Linked DNA regions of Schizosaccharomyces pombe. Changing the gene in region 1 together with any one later gene gives a genetic interaction. Each region holds a gene or a part of one and is shown on either strand. Other genes may lie near its edges. The genes, in order: SPOM_SPAC1B3.02C, SPOM_SPAC11D3.16C, sym1 and cit1.

Region 1 (3,646 bases):
CTAGCATTTTTTTAATACAGTATGTTTCTAGAAGTTTCGTAGAAAATCTCTTCGCAGTAGGTTGCAAATATAAATCACCACCTTTTTAATAACTAAAACTAAATAGTTTGCACAGATCTGTATATTTCGTCTGCGTAAAATCGCTATTCATTCTTCTTCTTAAAGCAACTTTGTGGTGTGAATACACTGAGGAGACTGGCAGTGAAATATCATTACTTAAAAACGATCATTGTTTTTTTTTGCACGAAATGAGTACTTACGCCTATTTTAAAATTAGCATTGATGGTAAAATTCAACCAACAATCTACTTTGAACTTTTCGACAACGTAGTTCCCAAAACTGTCAAAAACTTTGCTTCGTTGTGTAATGGGTTTGAGAAGGATGGCCGTTGTTTAACCTACAAAGGTTCAAGGTTCCATCGAGTAATTAAGAACTTTATGCTTCAAGGTGGTGACTTTACTCGTGGTAATGGAACGGGTGGAGAAAGCATCTACGGCGAGAAGTTTGAGGACGAGAACTTTGAGCTCAAGCATGATAAGCCTTTCTTGCTTTCCATGGCCAATGCCGGCCCTAATACCAATGGATCTCAGTTCTTCATTACTACTGTTCCCACCCCTCATTTGGATGGAAAGCATGTTGTTTTTGGCAAGGTAATTCAAGGAAAATCTACTGTTCGTACCATTGAAAATTTGGAGACCAAAAATGACGATCCGGTTGTACCTGTTGTTATTGAAGAATGTGGAACTTGCACAAAGGATCAGATTGAGGCACCAAAGCCAGACGTTACTGGTGATTCTCTGGAAGAATTTCCTGATGATTACGAGGGTGATAAGTCCGAGACTGCCATTTTCAAAATTGCTAGCGACTTAAAGGGAATTGCTAACAAGCAATTTGCTCAGCAAAATTTGGATACAGCCGTTGCCAAATGGCAAAAAGCTTTGCGCTACCTAATGGAATACCCTGTTCCCAACGATGACTCTAAGGAATCCCCTGATTTCTGGAAAGAGTATAATGCTTTACGATACAGCATATACGCAAACCTTGCCCTTGTAGCTTTGAAGCAGAACAAACCTCAGGAAGCTATTCGAAACGCCAACATTGTAATTGAGGCCAGTAACTCTACTGAGTTAGAGAAACAGAAAGCATACTATCGTTTGGGTTGTGCTCAAGGTCTCTTGAAGAATTTTGAAGAATCAGAGAAAGCACTTGCTAAGGCTGGTAACGATCCTGCAATTTCAAAGAAGCTTGCAGAAATTCGTCAAAAGAAAAAAGATTATAAGAAGCGCCAACAAAAGGCCTATGCTAAGATGTTTCAGTAATTCCAAATTAATCGGCGTCACGTGAATGCTGAGAAGTCAATTATGTTTTACGTTAATTTCTAGTTAGTCAATGAGAGTTTTATCGCATTTACAAAATAACCATAGAAGGTCAACTACGTTGCGAGAAAGAGTGCAAGATTTACTTATGGAGGATCTGGCTTCGTTTGTAAGACTGGTATGCCTACGTTTGCGTTTCATACAGCAAAGTATCATCATGAATAGAAAGAACTCTAGAAACAAATGTGCATCAGTAAACTCAATAAGAATATCATATTTAAACATTTAATTCATTAAAATTAAATAAGACCGTCTCTTACCAAGTGTCGAAATTACATGAGTTTCCGCATTACCCTTCCTAAGGATGAGAGTGCTAATGTGAACCCGCTAATACGAATCTGCAGTTTGCAAAACGTAAACAGATTCTGCAAATGGGTAAAAGAAAAGCAAAAGCAAAAGTGAAACCCAAAAGAAGGGCACCCCCATTAGATACGACTGTGAGTTATAGTTTAATTACGAAATTTACTAACTTTACTAGTTTACGTGCCTATTTTGCAACCACGAAAAAAGTGTGAGCTGTAGTCTGTATGCTTATTAACTACTTTCATTTTTTTTAACACTTTGATAGTGATAAACAATCAGGAGTTGGAAATCTACACTGCAAAATTTGTGGTCAGAGTCATCAATGTCTAATTACAGGTATGAAAGAGGTGTTTTATTTCAATAGCGGCACGTAAATTATTACGATTAATATTGCGGTTAATTTCTTTTATATCGTCTCTTTATCTTCTTATTTCTTGTTCTTTTATGAAATTTTCTTGTACACTTATTTACTAACATTATCAAGCTCTTTCGGCACCCATCGACGTATACAGCGACTGGATTGATGCTTGTGATGCTGTTGCAAATCAAGCTAAAGAGGTTGATAATATAAATGATCAAGAAGCCTATTCCCCTGAAGCAGCTTATGAGGAAGAAAAGGAATGATTTTTTGCTATTGGCCTAACTTGCAAAAGGAAGATTCTTTTCAGAGCTTAAATGTTGAAAGTTTCCGTTCATTTATGGTGATCTTATTTTCGTTGATGCTCAGTCGTTTCAATTAAGAGATTTCTCTGAAGCGATAAGAAGGTATTAACTACATTGCAATGAACAAGACGCTGTATTTGGCAAAACCGGACGAGCTTAGTGTATACAAATCTAGGCATGCTCTTGTATATATTTGTCCTTTTTAAAGACGTCGAACATACGAATTTCGAGATTCCATCTGATGAACCGACAATTGGACGATAGTGTTAAGCTTATTTGTTGGTATTCGGATGTACCATCAATATGGGTGTGATATCTTGCTCATTGGCAAGATAGCCATTTCATTGCTTTGTTTTTGGTTTGGTAGAATCGCTGTTCACTATGACAGGCTAAGAATTACGAGTGCCTAGAGTGTGGTTGACTTCGACCTTGTACTTATTGTATTCTCCATGTACAAAAAATGTCTAGAATGAAAGAGATATGAAAATATGTTCATGTGTTCTTACTGCATTTGATTTAAAAATCCTTACAATACAACTCATTTCTTGGTTTCTTGTGAATACAGTTGGATGAATTGAGAATTACAAGTAAAAAACATTGAAATCCAATTAAGATTGTAAGCTGCATGGAGTCCAATTGTATGAATGTGTGCTTCAAAAATTTGTACTGTCTTTCTCATTCTTAAATATAAGCAGTAATTCATTTAAAAACATCAACTTGCCCTAAAATATGTTCAATAGTTAATTGATATTCTTATTTAATTTTGCCAAGCCTGCTAGAGTAGAAATCTTTTACTGCGCTAAGTAACGCATTAATCATAATTATGTTATTATGAAATGATGTTGTAAATCTTTATTTATGTTTAACGAAATATACTAAGGTTGATAAAACTCATTTTGCTATTGATAGCTTAAAAGCAAATGTGTTATTGTGCTTTTACTTTTTACCATTTACTTGGTAAACAACTTGATAGGTAGATATTTAAGCATACATCGTCAAAAAGATGTCGCTGGTACCTGAGCATGGAAATGTGTACGTACTAAATCAGACAAATCAATTAAAAGGGTTGTTTACCATCATTCGTGATAAAACGAAACCTCGTGTATGCGCGTTCAGTTTACAACAGATTACTGAGTCAAGGTCTAAGAACTAATTGAAATGAATGTGTTAATATGTCCAAGAAATTTTAGCTTTTTCCTCTATTAATGGGGAGATAAATGTTTATCAGTGGATGATAGGAAGCATTCATTATCAGTTAGTACATTCGACAACTTCTCGTGTATTCTTTGTTGAATCTGTTATCC
Region 2 (3,410 bases), 4.8 Mb from region 1:
ATGCCATAGAAAAATCACTTTCTATACCAGTACACAAGCATGCAATCACAACTAGAGAGCGAAGAAATGAAGCAGCAACATTCTCGGAATTAAACGATGCTTGATGAATAAAAGGGAAAACAGGATGAAACCACTCAAAGTAACCTTCGATATAATGTTCTAAGAAATCCGAAGGAATCAAAGGAAGAATGGTAAAATAAGGACGCAAACTTGGATGATAAGCTTTTGGCACATCTATTGCATCGAAAGAAGGTAAAACAATTTTCATATTATCTTCTTGCTGTGATGCGGCAGCCTTTACGTCCAGCACATCTTTCGAGCCTTCTTCGATAACAGACTTATCATTATGGAATCGCTGTATGTGGCGTTTGAGTAAATCTTTTCTTTTGCATTTGATCTCACAATAGGGACAAGGTATAGGTTCAGCCTTACTATGACAAGCCTTATGTCGAGTTAGATTTTCATGCCTCGTAAAACGCTTGGCGCACTGGTCGCAAGGAAAGACGCGCTTAGAATCAATCAATGAAGGTTCAGTCAACTTCCTCTTAGCAGACAAAACATTCGTTGAATTTTCAGAAACATGATCTACCATATTTGTGGAGAAATCAATACAAAACTTTCCCAAAGAAAATCCAACGCATAAATAAGTATAAAATTTTAAAAAGTGTTAACCAAAAACGGGTATAAACAAACAATAAATATTAAAGAGGAAGGGAAACACTGTCAGACAACAGATTTCCTATGCAAAAACTATGGTAGGTGGCTCAATTGCAAAATGTTAGATAAATTTTGACGCAACAATTAATGAACACCTTTTTACACAACAGATTTATACTTTTAAGCTTAATACCATCAGCAATAGACTATTTCCAAATGTTTTTTCGTATGGTAAAGGACAAGTAAGCATTATGAATAATTGTCGCGATTATCTCTCTTTAACCCTAAACAGATGCTTCTGATAAACCATGTCTATCTTGCGCTTAGCGAATTTGTCAAGCAGATAAACTAGCGCAAATTAAGTCATTCGTTGCTATTTCAATAAATAACTCATAATTCAACTTTTCATATATGCAACTACTTCTTTTATTGTGCCTAATAATTACTTGCAATTGAAATTGTATACCGAGAATTCTGTAGTAAGTAAGTATATTCTAACGCCAAGGGTATGCAAAACACTTCATTCTCCGCGGATGTACGTGCATAAGTATATTATCAAACTTTCAATAATATCATATTCTCGACATTCCTTCATTCTCTATATTATATTTTCAACTCCATAAACGCTTTCAGACAGTGAGATATATGAAGACATATATCTTCGTCGAATTATCAAGTTAGTCTCGGCTAGCATGCGTTTAGTACCTATCTAATCGAGGCTGTCTAAAATTTATCTAGACTGGAAATTCGGTGAAAAAAAATTTCAGTATCTACTGTGGCTGAAAGATAATTAGGAAGTAGATGAAGTTAAACATTCAAAAATTAGAGATATAAAAGTTCTTCCATTTTGTTGACTTGTTTCATTTAGTTTTACAGCTTTTATTCTCTTGCATTTTTTAACAACGCGTAAAACTGGTTTAACGAATCCGAATACCCATTTCTATCATTTGTGAGATCGATATTCACTGTTATCTAGCAAATAAAAAAGCTTGCAATTCCTACGTCTTCAGGATAAGGAACTAGATTGTATCAAACCAGCTGATTTTAGGTTCTACAGATAGGTGTTAGCAACTTGAAATCTTTATTCCTTTACACTTACTACAGGTTTTGATATAAGTTCAAGACTTAGTAATTACCTCCTTCATTTTTCTTTTCTGGCTCTTCGCGTGAGAAAACCGATTGGAACCAACGTCTCAAAGTCATTTTATCCTGCTTTCATTGTTGCTTTTAAGTGGCAAATAGCTATTAATCCTTTCAATATCTGTACTGCAATCGATCGTTCATAATTCGATCACTTATTTTTTTTCTCTGGATTATCTTGTCTTTTACGATAATTTCCTATTCCGAAACATTAATATATATAGTTAGAATCTTTCGAAGGAACCAACTTTAATCCAAATAACGCTTTTATGACTACTTTGAAGGTTGACGAGGATTTGGAATGTGCGCTCATGGAGCAATTCATCGAGGCTCTTCACCAAAGGTGTACTGATATTCCACGCACTCAGTTGTGTGTGCTTGCGATTAGCTTTAATCGCTTCATTCTCCATAAGTCTCCCGACATTTTCACATATATTCAATACTACCAACAAAAGCTGAATTCATATGGGTTTCCACTTCCACCTGTAGTTTTGAAATCGTTACAAATGCCTTTAACGTCTCCGGAACCCGATGCTGATGAAAGGTTTAGAGACGGTGATACTGAGTTTGATACTGCCGGTGTTACTGCTTCTTCTTGCTTTCCTGTGGATGTTAAATCTCCATCTGTGAGAGCTTTCGGAAATGTAACATTCCAATCAGATTGAATTGCTGAAATGAAAGGTTTCTCTTACGTTCCAGTTCGCTTTCTTTTAAGTGATTGCCTTCGTAGGATTGCTTCTTTTTTTTTCGAGCGCAGATGATTTTACCCTTTTTTTCCCAACTTTACTCTTTTTTGTTAGAGTTGTTGAAAGCTCATCCTATTCCTCGCATGCATCCTAATTTTTATGTTCTTAATGCTTTAGCAGTCCATTCCAGTTTTTTTTTTCCTATTACATTAAATATTTACTCATTTATTTTTATATTTCACTATTTCACAAATTTTGGAAACGCGTTCATATATCCTATCTTAATCTATACGGCTTTTTAATTACAATTATATACATTTTCTACAAATGATTTAGTATTCAAGAATATTATATATTATTGAACTTTATCCTGTTGTTGTCACCAACACTTGTAGTATATTCGACAACTATATACAAATATTTTTAAAAACTTTGTTATTAGTAAGAAATTAAGATGTAAAAGACAAACTATTTATATTACCATTAATAAATTATCTAACTAATTCGTGTGCTGTATTTCCTGTAATTGTGAGATGGTGCCATTAGCCCTGAAATGCTGGACACCATTAGCTTTCTTGACAGTATCTACTCGTTCAGAAGGGGGTCCATATCCACCACCGCCAGGTGTCATAATAACAATATGGTCACCAGCTTGCATATGGCATGTGTTTTTACCGCCAACGTTGATTTGTCGAACTCGTTGCTCTCCTGAAGGTAAGATATCCTTTCGAATCCAAATGTTTTTACCGCATTCGGCATCTTTACCTCCTTTCATACCGTATGGATGATAGGCACGACGCTCTGAAAGTATGGAAAGGGTAACTGGAATTCTGAATTCAATATCGCGAATAACACCATCACCACCTTTGTACTTTCCTGCGCCGCCAGAATTTTCACGAATGATAAACTTTCTCAAAATGACAGGGT
Region 3 (3,923 bases), 2.6 Mb from region 1:
GATGTCCCGATCGTTTCACGCCGTATGATACTGACTTCCATCCGCTGAACCTTGATGCGTACAAGGATAAAGTAGATTTTCCCAATAATAACATCTTTTAAATGATATTTGTTTTTGCTGTATTCAAATTCTATGTGTAGGCATTCATCAATGCCCACATCCATTCTGATTAAGCTGTTTGTCTCTGGTTCATTCTCAAATCGATAGACCCACAGATCTTTTTCACGAATGACATCTTTCATCTTTCTGGAAACCGTAACGCGACATATATAGCGGAGTTTAACGTTTTTGCCAATATAGGATTCATAAGGTTTATCAACATGCTTGAACTCAAATTCAAACATTTGGGCATGCCTCATTTCCCCAGGAGAAGCTAACTCCTGTACGCTTCTAGTAAATTCATGAATATTTCCTTTGTCGTAAGTATTTTCGATCTGTCCAATAAACTCAATTTTCACACCATCGTGGTCCAACTTGCGGCCATCTTTTAAACGAATCATCACCTATACCGTCGTTAGTCGTACAAACATATAAAAATCCAAGCTGTTGCAACAGATTATTTATTTCAAAATACACTGAACGTGCACGTTTGCACTTACTGTTCCTTTCACAGTCTCATCACTTTCGTAAATTGGCGCCTTGTCTTTTCGGCCCTGTTCAAACTCATAGTCAACGAACGTTCGTTCTTCTTCATTGTCCAAATGAAGATCAACGTCGATTGGACTTTTAAAGAAGTAATCCATTGTGAAAATTTAGAAAGTTGTTTGAAAAATGAGTTTGGAATTTTAGATATTTTCAATTGAAATAAGGAAAATAAGTTCAATTTCGTAATTTCTTTCTGTCTCTAAGGATGATAAATTAGCAATTGAATAAGAACTGATAATTGCAGCAAATTAATTTTTGGAGGCTAATATATCCCAATTTGTAAATTCATGGTGTAGGGTGATACTGTGAAGAGCTAGTAGCTTAATGCAATGGAACGCAACTTGAGTAATATGTGTTAAGTTTTTTAACGAAATGTTTTAGCGAGCTTGAGTTTATAGACGTAAACAAGTGAATTATTATTGTACTTAAAAAGTTATGTCTTAGTAGAACACGGTTGTTTCTTTAAAGAAATTTATATGTAAATTAATAAGCTCTTTCTCTGACTCTTATTGTGCCAAATGATGCTTTAAATTATTTTTGAACTTTATGAATTAAGAGCATACACATTTGACCATCTATTCATTACATTCAAAAATCGGATATCTTACTTTTATGAACTGTATGGTATTTTTTTTTTTTTTGTTTTAGAATACTTAATTCAAGTTATTAAAAATTCGCACTTAAATTCAGTTACTGTTTCACATGTAAAGCAAGTGAATTTAAAAGGAAGAAAAAAAATAAAAAGAATTTATTTAGTTGTATAACAATTTATATGGAATGCGTTTAGTCTAACGAATATCCATTATTTTTAGTTAATCGATTTGAAAGAGTAAGTAAATTGCTTAAAGCGCTGCAAGTGATTTTCATAAAAATATATCATTAAACAAAATCATAAAGTTAAAAGGTTGAATTTCTCAGGGTATTGTTGAAATTATGAAATAAACAATATCCCACAAGATAAACCAAATCTCATTCGATAGAAAAAAAATTTGATAAAATGAATAATTTGAGTATATTTGACACAGATTATTACAGCTTAGCGATTTGATCAAATAAAACAACAATAAAAGAATTAAACAAAGAAATAAAAGAATAAAGAAATAACGAAATTAATTAATTAAATATACAATTATTGTTATAATCTTTTCATTTTAATGATTTCTTTGCCTTATAACTATCGTCACCATCGGTTTTAACATTGCAAAGCAGCTCTTCAACGCTATATTGATATCACTCTCAATAACTTACTAGTGGTATTTCTTCTATTTCCTTTAAAGGTGTACGCGATGTTCATAGCGAAATCAATGTATGTTTGATTATTTCTGTGTATTTAAATAAATACTTACGATAATTAGAGTAATCGGATTATTAATATGTGTTTTGTTCTTCTTTTTCTTTGTGAGTCGCTTCAACGACAAATATGAATTGCAGCCTCTACTCACATTGGGATTACTAAACGCGTCTTTAACAGCTCTTTCTGACTTGTTAGCTCAGGCGTTGGACTCGTACAAACTGCTAAAGTTTCGCAATAAAAGAGACGTATCTCTCGAGAAATATGGGAATACAATCCTCTTACCAGCTAGTACTTCAAAGTTAGATGTCCATAGAACAATTCGTTATGCTGCCTATGGTACGTTAAAGGTTTGCATTACTTTGAAACCTTATAAAGTGAACCTTGTTATTTCTCCCTCTTTCTATGCAAGATACTAACATAATTGAACAGGTCTATGCCTTACTCCTATCCAAGTAAGAAAAACTACTCTTAATGATTAAATTCAGTATCAAAGTTCACAATGACTTTTGATACCAAGTTTGATTATGTGTACACCAATTTTTTATGCTAACGCGAATCTAGTTCCGATGGTTTGTTGCCTTATCCAATGTTATTCAAACTGAGAATCCTTTTATTGCCATAGTTTTGCGAGTGGCTTTAGATCAATTTATCTTTGCTCCATTAGGCATAGTGTTTTTCTTTTTATTCATGGTACTACTATTATCAACAAATAAAGCATCAGAATTAACAGTTTTTAGGGTATCACCGAATGCAAGTCTTATGAAAGGTTGAAAAGCTACTTCCGGAAACATTACTGGCCTACATTAAAAGTAAGGAATCTCTTTGACATTTGCACCAGCTGCCTTAAATTATTATAGTCATTTGCTAACATATTTAGGCTAATTATATACTTTGGCCGGCCGTACAGCTTTTCAATTTTACCTTCGTCCCTTTGGTCTTACAGGTGATTTTTGCCAACGCTGTTTCGATGGTTTGGACAGCTTACTTAAGTTTGAAAAATAGTTCCCCGAATGCAGACGTATGAGAAGGTAGGGAGCAATTCGGCTATTATTTTCTTCTATCGTATTTGCAAATTTATATTTCACATTCAACTTTGCAAATTTTCTTTACCTTTACTCAGTCGGGCTTACGACTTCATTTGAAGTTTATTCGTTTGTTAATATGTTCAAAATTTTATTCCAATTATCTTAATTCTCCCTTAAGGCTTGTTTTCGATCGGTATGCTCTTATGTTATTTAATAAACTTGGATTAATATATGGATCTTCCTATTATTTCATTTAGTTTCACTCGCTGCAAATTATGCAAATATCTTGCATATAGTTAGATTGTATTTAATGAAAAAAAATTGTTTTTTCATATCGACGCTGAGAGCTAATATCAATAGATCAGATTTTATCCAAATAATCTCGTTAATAGTATATTTAATATTACCGAATTCCAATTTTTTAAATCACTACTTTATAAACACCGTGTCAAATTTCACCTAGTTACTTTATTCTCATGGTAATTCACTGGTGGTGGGAGTTAGCCCTACAAGTTACAAATACGAAAGAGATGAAATTACAAAATCTGTATGTACTAATATCTTTAGAAGTAAATACCTCTTCAGCTACTCAACTGAGGTGTCTACAATCTCTTGAATTTATCAAAAGAAACAAAAAGTATCAAACTTCCTTTATCATCATTAATATCCTATAAGGAATTATAGCAAAGTTTCAGTATACACTTGTCGACGGATGCCATTTTATCTTAAGAGGCTAGCAATTTACGTAGAACATTACATTACTTCACTTGCAATATGGACGGAGAAGGTATATACACTAATATTTGTGTTTTAGGGTATAATATTTAGAATACTAATAGACTTTTAGTTCTTGCAAACAAATCTTGCTGTGGTGCAGTAGTAACTGCATTTTCAGTAATTGGTATTGTGTTTACAATCCTTAAATTTACATCTTTTGCCAGTTTCGTTTATAAGACGTT
Region 4 (4,894 bases), 2.6 Mb from region 1:
CCACACTAGTGAAATAGCAAGATTGTGAAAAATCAGCTTATATAAATGTTTCAGTTGATTTCAAATGATGTTACTCTTAACTCGTTTTAAATAAATGGGTGTATGTGAAATAACGAAGCAATTTGGGAATGCAAAATCTAATATGTACGTATTAGTTGTTGATGGATCTCTTTATATTTTTATATGGAAACACTAGTAGTCATGGTTTTAATAGAAAAGCAGTCTAGAGAGATATGTTGGAATTCGATACTTTGCATCAAAGTGTTCTATTTATTTATTTATGTTGCGTCTGTCAAGTCAAAGCACTTGAAATGACTGTTGTTGTAAAAAAAAGGAATCCCGAAGAAAAATTATATGTTTTTGAATTAATTCATTTCTATATTTATTTTTAAGAGCTATTTTTGAGTTTTGAATCCTCTAGCCAAAAAGTAGTAACTACAGTCTACACGCTCTCTTACCTTGGCCGACGGGGTATGTACAATACCAACTCGAACGGTTCCCCACATGGTTCTCCAATGTGGGATACTTGGAATGGTATTCAGTAACGATCTAAAAGTCGCAATTCTAATATTCCACCCCCACTTTGTCTCATTGGGGTCCAAGTTTTTGGATGGGAATAAAAAGCGAAACGAGCTGTAACGCTTAGCGTTAGTGAAAATAGCGATTACCACTAGCAATCCTAAGAAAAAAACATCCATCTAAACTTCGTCAATAGCAATGGTTGAGCAGTTAGAAAAAGTTATCAAAAACTTTCTTACCTATAAAAATTATTTTCTTGTCGCTTGTCAACATCTCTATTCATTTATTCACTCCCGATACATGCATATGCATTGCCGTAACGCACATGCAAGAGATGAAGCTACTTCAGTCAACGTTCATTGAGTAAATATTTGCATAGCTAAGCAATTCTTTTCTGTATCTATTGTAGTACTATGTTTGACTGAGAAATCCGCTACCGCGGAAGTTCTCCTAAATTTTGATCTTTACTGATATCATTAGCTCGATCGATCGGAGCAACTACCCTTTTTTACCTGATCAAGACAAGCAAATTCTCGAAATTCGGCTTGTTATCTATTTAAAATTTCAAAAAAAAAAAAAAAAAAGAAAAAAAACTTATGAGAGATAAAATTTGTAGCACAAAGTATGGTAACCAAGAACCAAAGATGCGTTTATTGATAGTAACAGTAAATAGCACTTCACTTGCAAGGCCAACAATACAAGACACTATGGTAATGTAGATCAGTACGTTTTCAAAGCATAAAATGTACAAATTGTTTGTTGGTAGGAAATCAATACTTATTCATACCCATCTCGTTTCTCTCATTGTTGAAAGGATATAATATCAATCTATGTAGTCTAATTTGTATCATTCAACAATTATGGAAACATCGGATACGCCTCTTTTCAAATTTTCTTACTCCTTAATTTATTTTTGATCAAAGTACATCTAAATAATAAAATATTATTTTTTCCTGCGACGATGAACCGGGTTTCCATGCAAGGTTGCCTGTCCCAATCATAAAAGTGAGATTTGACTTTTCAACGGGTTTGTAAGTTGTAGGCTAAAGTTCATTAGTAAATATGTGATAAATAAGGCTTTCTTTCTTCATTACAATTTTTTCTTACTGTTTGGTGGATTTCGGCTTTGTTGCCCAAGTCATTCTCCACAAACCTTCTTCACTTTACTGAATTTTAAGTGGTTTTGTATTTCGTATTCACCGACATCAGAAGCGAGTCTATATGCTAAGGTTGTTCCTCTCCTCGGTTTTGGCTAGTTGTTGAATGGACAGAATCATGGGGCACTGACGTCGCACCCTCCCCTCCGTTCATGCTAATGGTACTCAGGTTTACCGAATAAATAGTCCCCCATCCCAGCAATTATTCTTTCCTTAGCCAATATCGGTGCATTGTAATACCCTTTTTCATGTAAGTGCAAGCCTAAAGGTGTTTGAGATTTGATCTTGTCGAGAGGCAGTAGGATATTCTCTAGTGCATAGTTTAGAAAATCCTCCTTTGTGATAATTTTGATTTTGCGTTTCGTTGGCCTTTTGGTCTTACGAAATGTCGGTTTTCTTGAAAGAAAGTCTTATATTTTTGGTTGGAAATATAGTTTACTCGATGCTCTAATTCATGTCTGCCAATGCTAGGACTTTTTTCATCTGCGCTTATCTTGGGGTCAATCCTATACATAGCGTATGCAAATTTTCACTCAAAATGGGTTCATTTCTCTTACTTTGAAGAGGATAGAAAAGGTCTTCAAAAGCTCAATTTTTTTTTCTATTTAAAATTAGATGCCGTTATTGATAATGACTACGCTACTAAATTTGTGGTTCCTGTCTATATCTATGACCCATCTGAGTGTGCTCAGATTAAGCACACTAGTTGAATTGAAAATTAATTATTGATTTTTGATAACAAACCCCGTCTTTAGCTTGTTTGAAATTAAAGTGACTTTTCTCATTGGCGATTATTGATAGTCAATTTTTTTTCTATTTTTCACGATAGTTCTCTTAGATATTATCATTAACCGACTTTCTATTCTTATTGCTTATTTCTTTTTTTCTGTTTGTTAAATTTGCGAATCGGCCTTCACTATCTCCTTGATCTGATATCCTTCGTTCTCTCATATTATTACAAAGGAGCTTTTCCCGCATTTCACGCCTTCTTTTATTTCCCAAGTTTTACTTTTTACTAACTTTTAAATTATTAGGATGATTATATTAAACGCACCTCGTTTTATGACAAACACAAGATTAGCTAGTACTCGACGACTTGCTTCGTCGTTACTTTCTCAAGCGTCGCTTCGTTCCCGTCAATTAAACCCCCTTTTCACATCTTCTTACTCAACTCGTTCCTCTTCCTTAAAGGATCGGTTAGCTGAGCTTATTCCTGAAAAACAAGCAGAAATCAAAAAATTTCGCGCAGAACATGGCCAAGATGTCATTGGTGAGGTAACTATCAATCAAATGTATGGTGGTGCTCGTGGGGTTCGTTCTTTAATATGGGAAGGCTCTGTTTTAGACCCTAACGAGGGTATCCGATTCCGTGGTTATACTATCCCGGAATGCCAAAAATTACTTCCTTCTTCTCCCAACGGAAAACAGCCTCTTCCTGAATCTTTGTTCTGGCTTTTAGTTACCGGGGAAATTCCTACTCTGAGTCAAGTGCAGGCGCTTTCCGCTGACTGGGCCGCCCGTTCTCAGTTACCCAAATTTGTTGAAGAACTCATTGACCGTTGCCCTCCTACCCTTCATCCAATGGCCCAATTCTCTCTCGCTGTTACTGCACTTGAGCACGATTCTGCATTTGCTAAAGCATATGAGCGTGGAATGAACAAGCATGATTATTGGAAGTATGAATATGAAGACTGCATGGATTTGATTGCCAAGACCGTTCCAATTGCCGGTCGTATCTACCGCAATTTGTACCGTGATGGTGTTGTTGCTCCTATTCAAATGGATAAGGACCATTCGTACAATTTTGCTAATGTTCTGGGCTTTGCTAACAATGAGGAATTTGTGGAGCTTATGCGTCTTTATTTGACCATCCATGCTGACCACGAAGGTGGTAATGTATCTGCTCACACCGGTCATTTGGTAGGTTCTGCTCTTTCTTCACCCTTTTTGTCGATGGCTGCCTCCTTAAATGGACTTGCTGGTCCCCTTCATGGTCTTGCCAACCAAGAAGTTTTGAACTTTTTGATTACAATGAAGAAAGAAATCGGTGATGATTTATCTGAAGAAACAATCAAGTCTTATCTCTGGAAGCTTTTGAATTCTGGTCGTGTTGTTCCTGGTTATGGTCATGCCGTACTTCGTAAGACAGATCCTCGCTATACGGCTCAGCGTGAATTTGCACTTGAGCATCTTCCTAAAGATCCCATGTTTCAACTTGTAAGCCGTCTGTATGAAATAGTTCCAGGTGTTCTTACAGAGCATGGAAAAACCAAAAATCCATATCCCAACGTTGACTCACATTCTGGTGTTCTTTTGCAATATTATGGCTTGAAAGAACAAAGCTTCTACACCGTTTTGTTCGGTGTTTCTCGAACACTCGGTGTTGCCTCTCAACTCATCTGGGATCGAGCTTTGGGACTACCTATTGAGCGTCCTAAGTCTTTCTCTACTGAAGCATTAAAGAAGATGGTTGAAACGAAATGATTATCTTATTTCTTACAATGAAAATTATGTCGGCGCTTTTTTTTTCATTCATTATTTGTATAAATGTTTTATTTCCTACTTAGTTTTTACTGTGTTGGTGTTGTCAATTCCCGTTGCATTTAAAAATTGAATATCCGCAAATATATCAGCAAACACAATAATATTAATAATAAATTTCAAAATTGGTATAGCAAACAATGAATTTACTTAACTCTGTTGTATTCATGGCTTTAAAAAGTCTAACGTATAAGTTTTCAGTAAGCAAATTGTTATTTCAAAAGGCCTTCTCATCATCTGGTAACTTTCTATATATTTTAGCTAAATTATTTAATTTGGTATGAATGTAAAACACGCATAGTCAGACGAAAGCAATCCAATTAGGCTTTCGTCCCGGCTTAATTGGTGTCTAATATCTTTTTCTGCATATACACAGCGTACCAAAAGTCACTGTTAGCACTCCTTTTAGTTGCACGTGGATTCACAAGACCAAAGAACTTTGATTCACCGAGACTCAAATTCCAAAGCCTCCAATCGTGCTATGTATGTGGCATAGAAAAAGATAAAATTTCTAAATGGAAGAGATATATATATGAATAAAAATTCCTGAACTACCGTATTTCACTAGTTTTCATTAGGCTGGTTTAAGATAGTTTTCTAATTGCTTCGCAATTTGTTTCAATTTTACGAATTGCTGTATTAAGCAGAATATAATTAGTAAAAAATATGATTTGGAG

Evidence for each region.
Region 2: mutations in SPOM_SPAC1B3.02C (region 1) and SPOM_SPAC11D3.16C together harm fitness less than expected from each alone (positive genetic interaction), as found in Schizosaccharomyces pombe (one large-scale study listed by BioGRID).
Region 3: mutations in SPOM_SPAC1B3.02C (region 1) and sym1 together harm fitness less than expected from each alone (positive genetic interaction), as found in Schizosaccharomyces pombe (one large-scale study listed by BioGRID).
Region 4: mutations in SPOM_SPAC1B3.02C (region 1) and cit1 together harm fitness less than expected from each alone (positive genetic interaction), as found in Schizosaccharomyces pombe (one large-scale study listed by BioGRID).

The regions. Positions count from the first base shown.
Region 1 is NC_003424.3:4,927,618-4,931,263, reverse strand, and holds SPOM_SPAC1B3.02C (Elf1 family transcription elongation factor), read left to right. Parts: upstream 1-1,718; 5' UTR 1,719-1,747; coding exon 1,748-1,813; intron 1,814-1,854; coding exon 1,855-1,901; intron 1,902-1,944; coding exon 1,945-2,015; intron 2,016-2,163; coding exon 2,164-2,303; 3' UTR 2,304-3,092; downstream 3,093-3,646. Other genes in the region: cyclophilin family peptidyl-prolyl cis-trans isomerase Wis2, read left to right, coding at 249-1,319; SPOM_SPAC1B3.01C (uracil phosphoribosyltransferase), read left to right, coding at 3,346-3,444.
Region 2 is NC_003424.3:139,857-143,266, reverse strand, and holds SPOM_SPAC11D3.16C (uncharacterized protein), read left to right. Parts: upstream 1-1,740; 5' UTR 1,741-2,066; coding exon 2,067-2,462; 3' UTR 2,463-2,886; downstream 2,887-3,410. Other genes in the region: SPOM_SPAC11D3.17 (DNA-binding transcription factor, zf-fungal binuclear cluster type), read right to left, coding at 1-592; SPOM_SPAC11D3.15 (ATP-hydrolizing 5-oxoprolinase), read right to left, coding at 2,983-3,410.
Region 3 is NC_003424.3:2,278,492-2,282,414, forward strand, and holds sym1 (PMP22 family protein 2), read left to right. Parts: upstream 1-1,845; 5' UTR 1,846-1,931; coding exon 1,932-1,951; intron 1,952-2,000; coding exon 2,001-2,275; intron 2,276-2,368; coding exon 2,369-2,391; intron 2,392-2,500; coding exon 2,501-2,629; intron 2,630-2,676; coding exon 2,677-2,748; intron 2,749-2,816; coding exon 2,817-2,963; 3' UTR 2,964-3,356; downstream 3,357-3,923. Other genes in the region: retromer complex arrestin related endocytic adaptor ubunit Vps26, read right to left, coding at 1-503, 600-743; ifa38 (ketoreductase), read left to right, coding at 3,739-3,751, 3,812-3,923.
Region 4 is NC_003424.3:2,325,937-2,330,830, forward strand, and holds cit1 (citrate synthase Cit1), read left to right. Parts: upstream 1-1,891; 5' UTR 1,892-1,924; coding exon 1,925-1,926; intron 1,927-2,710; coding exon 2,711-4,160; 3' UTR 4,161-4,353; downstream 4,354-4,894. Other genes in the region: SPOM_SPAC6C3.03C (uncharacterized protein), read right to left, coding at 396-698.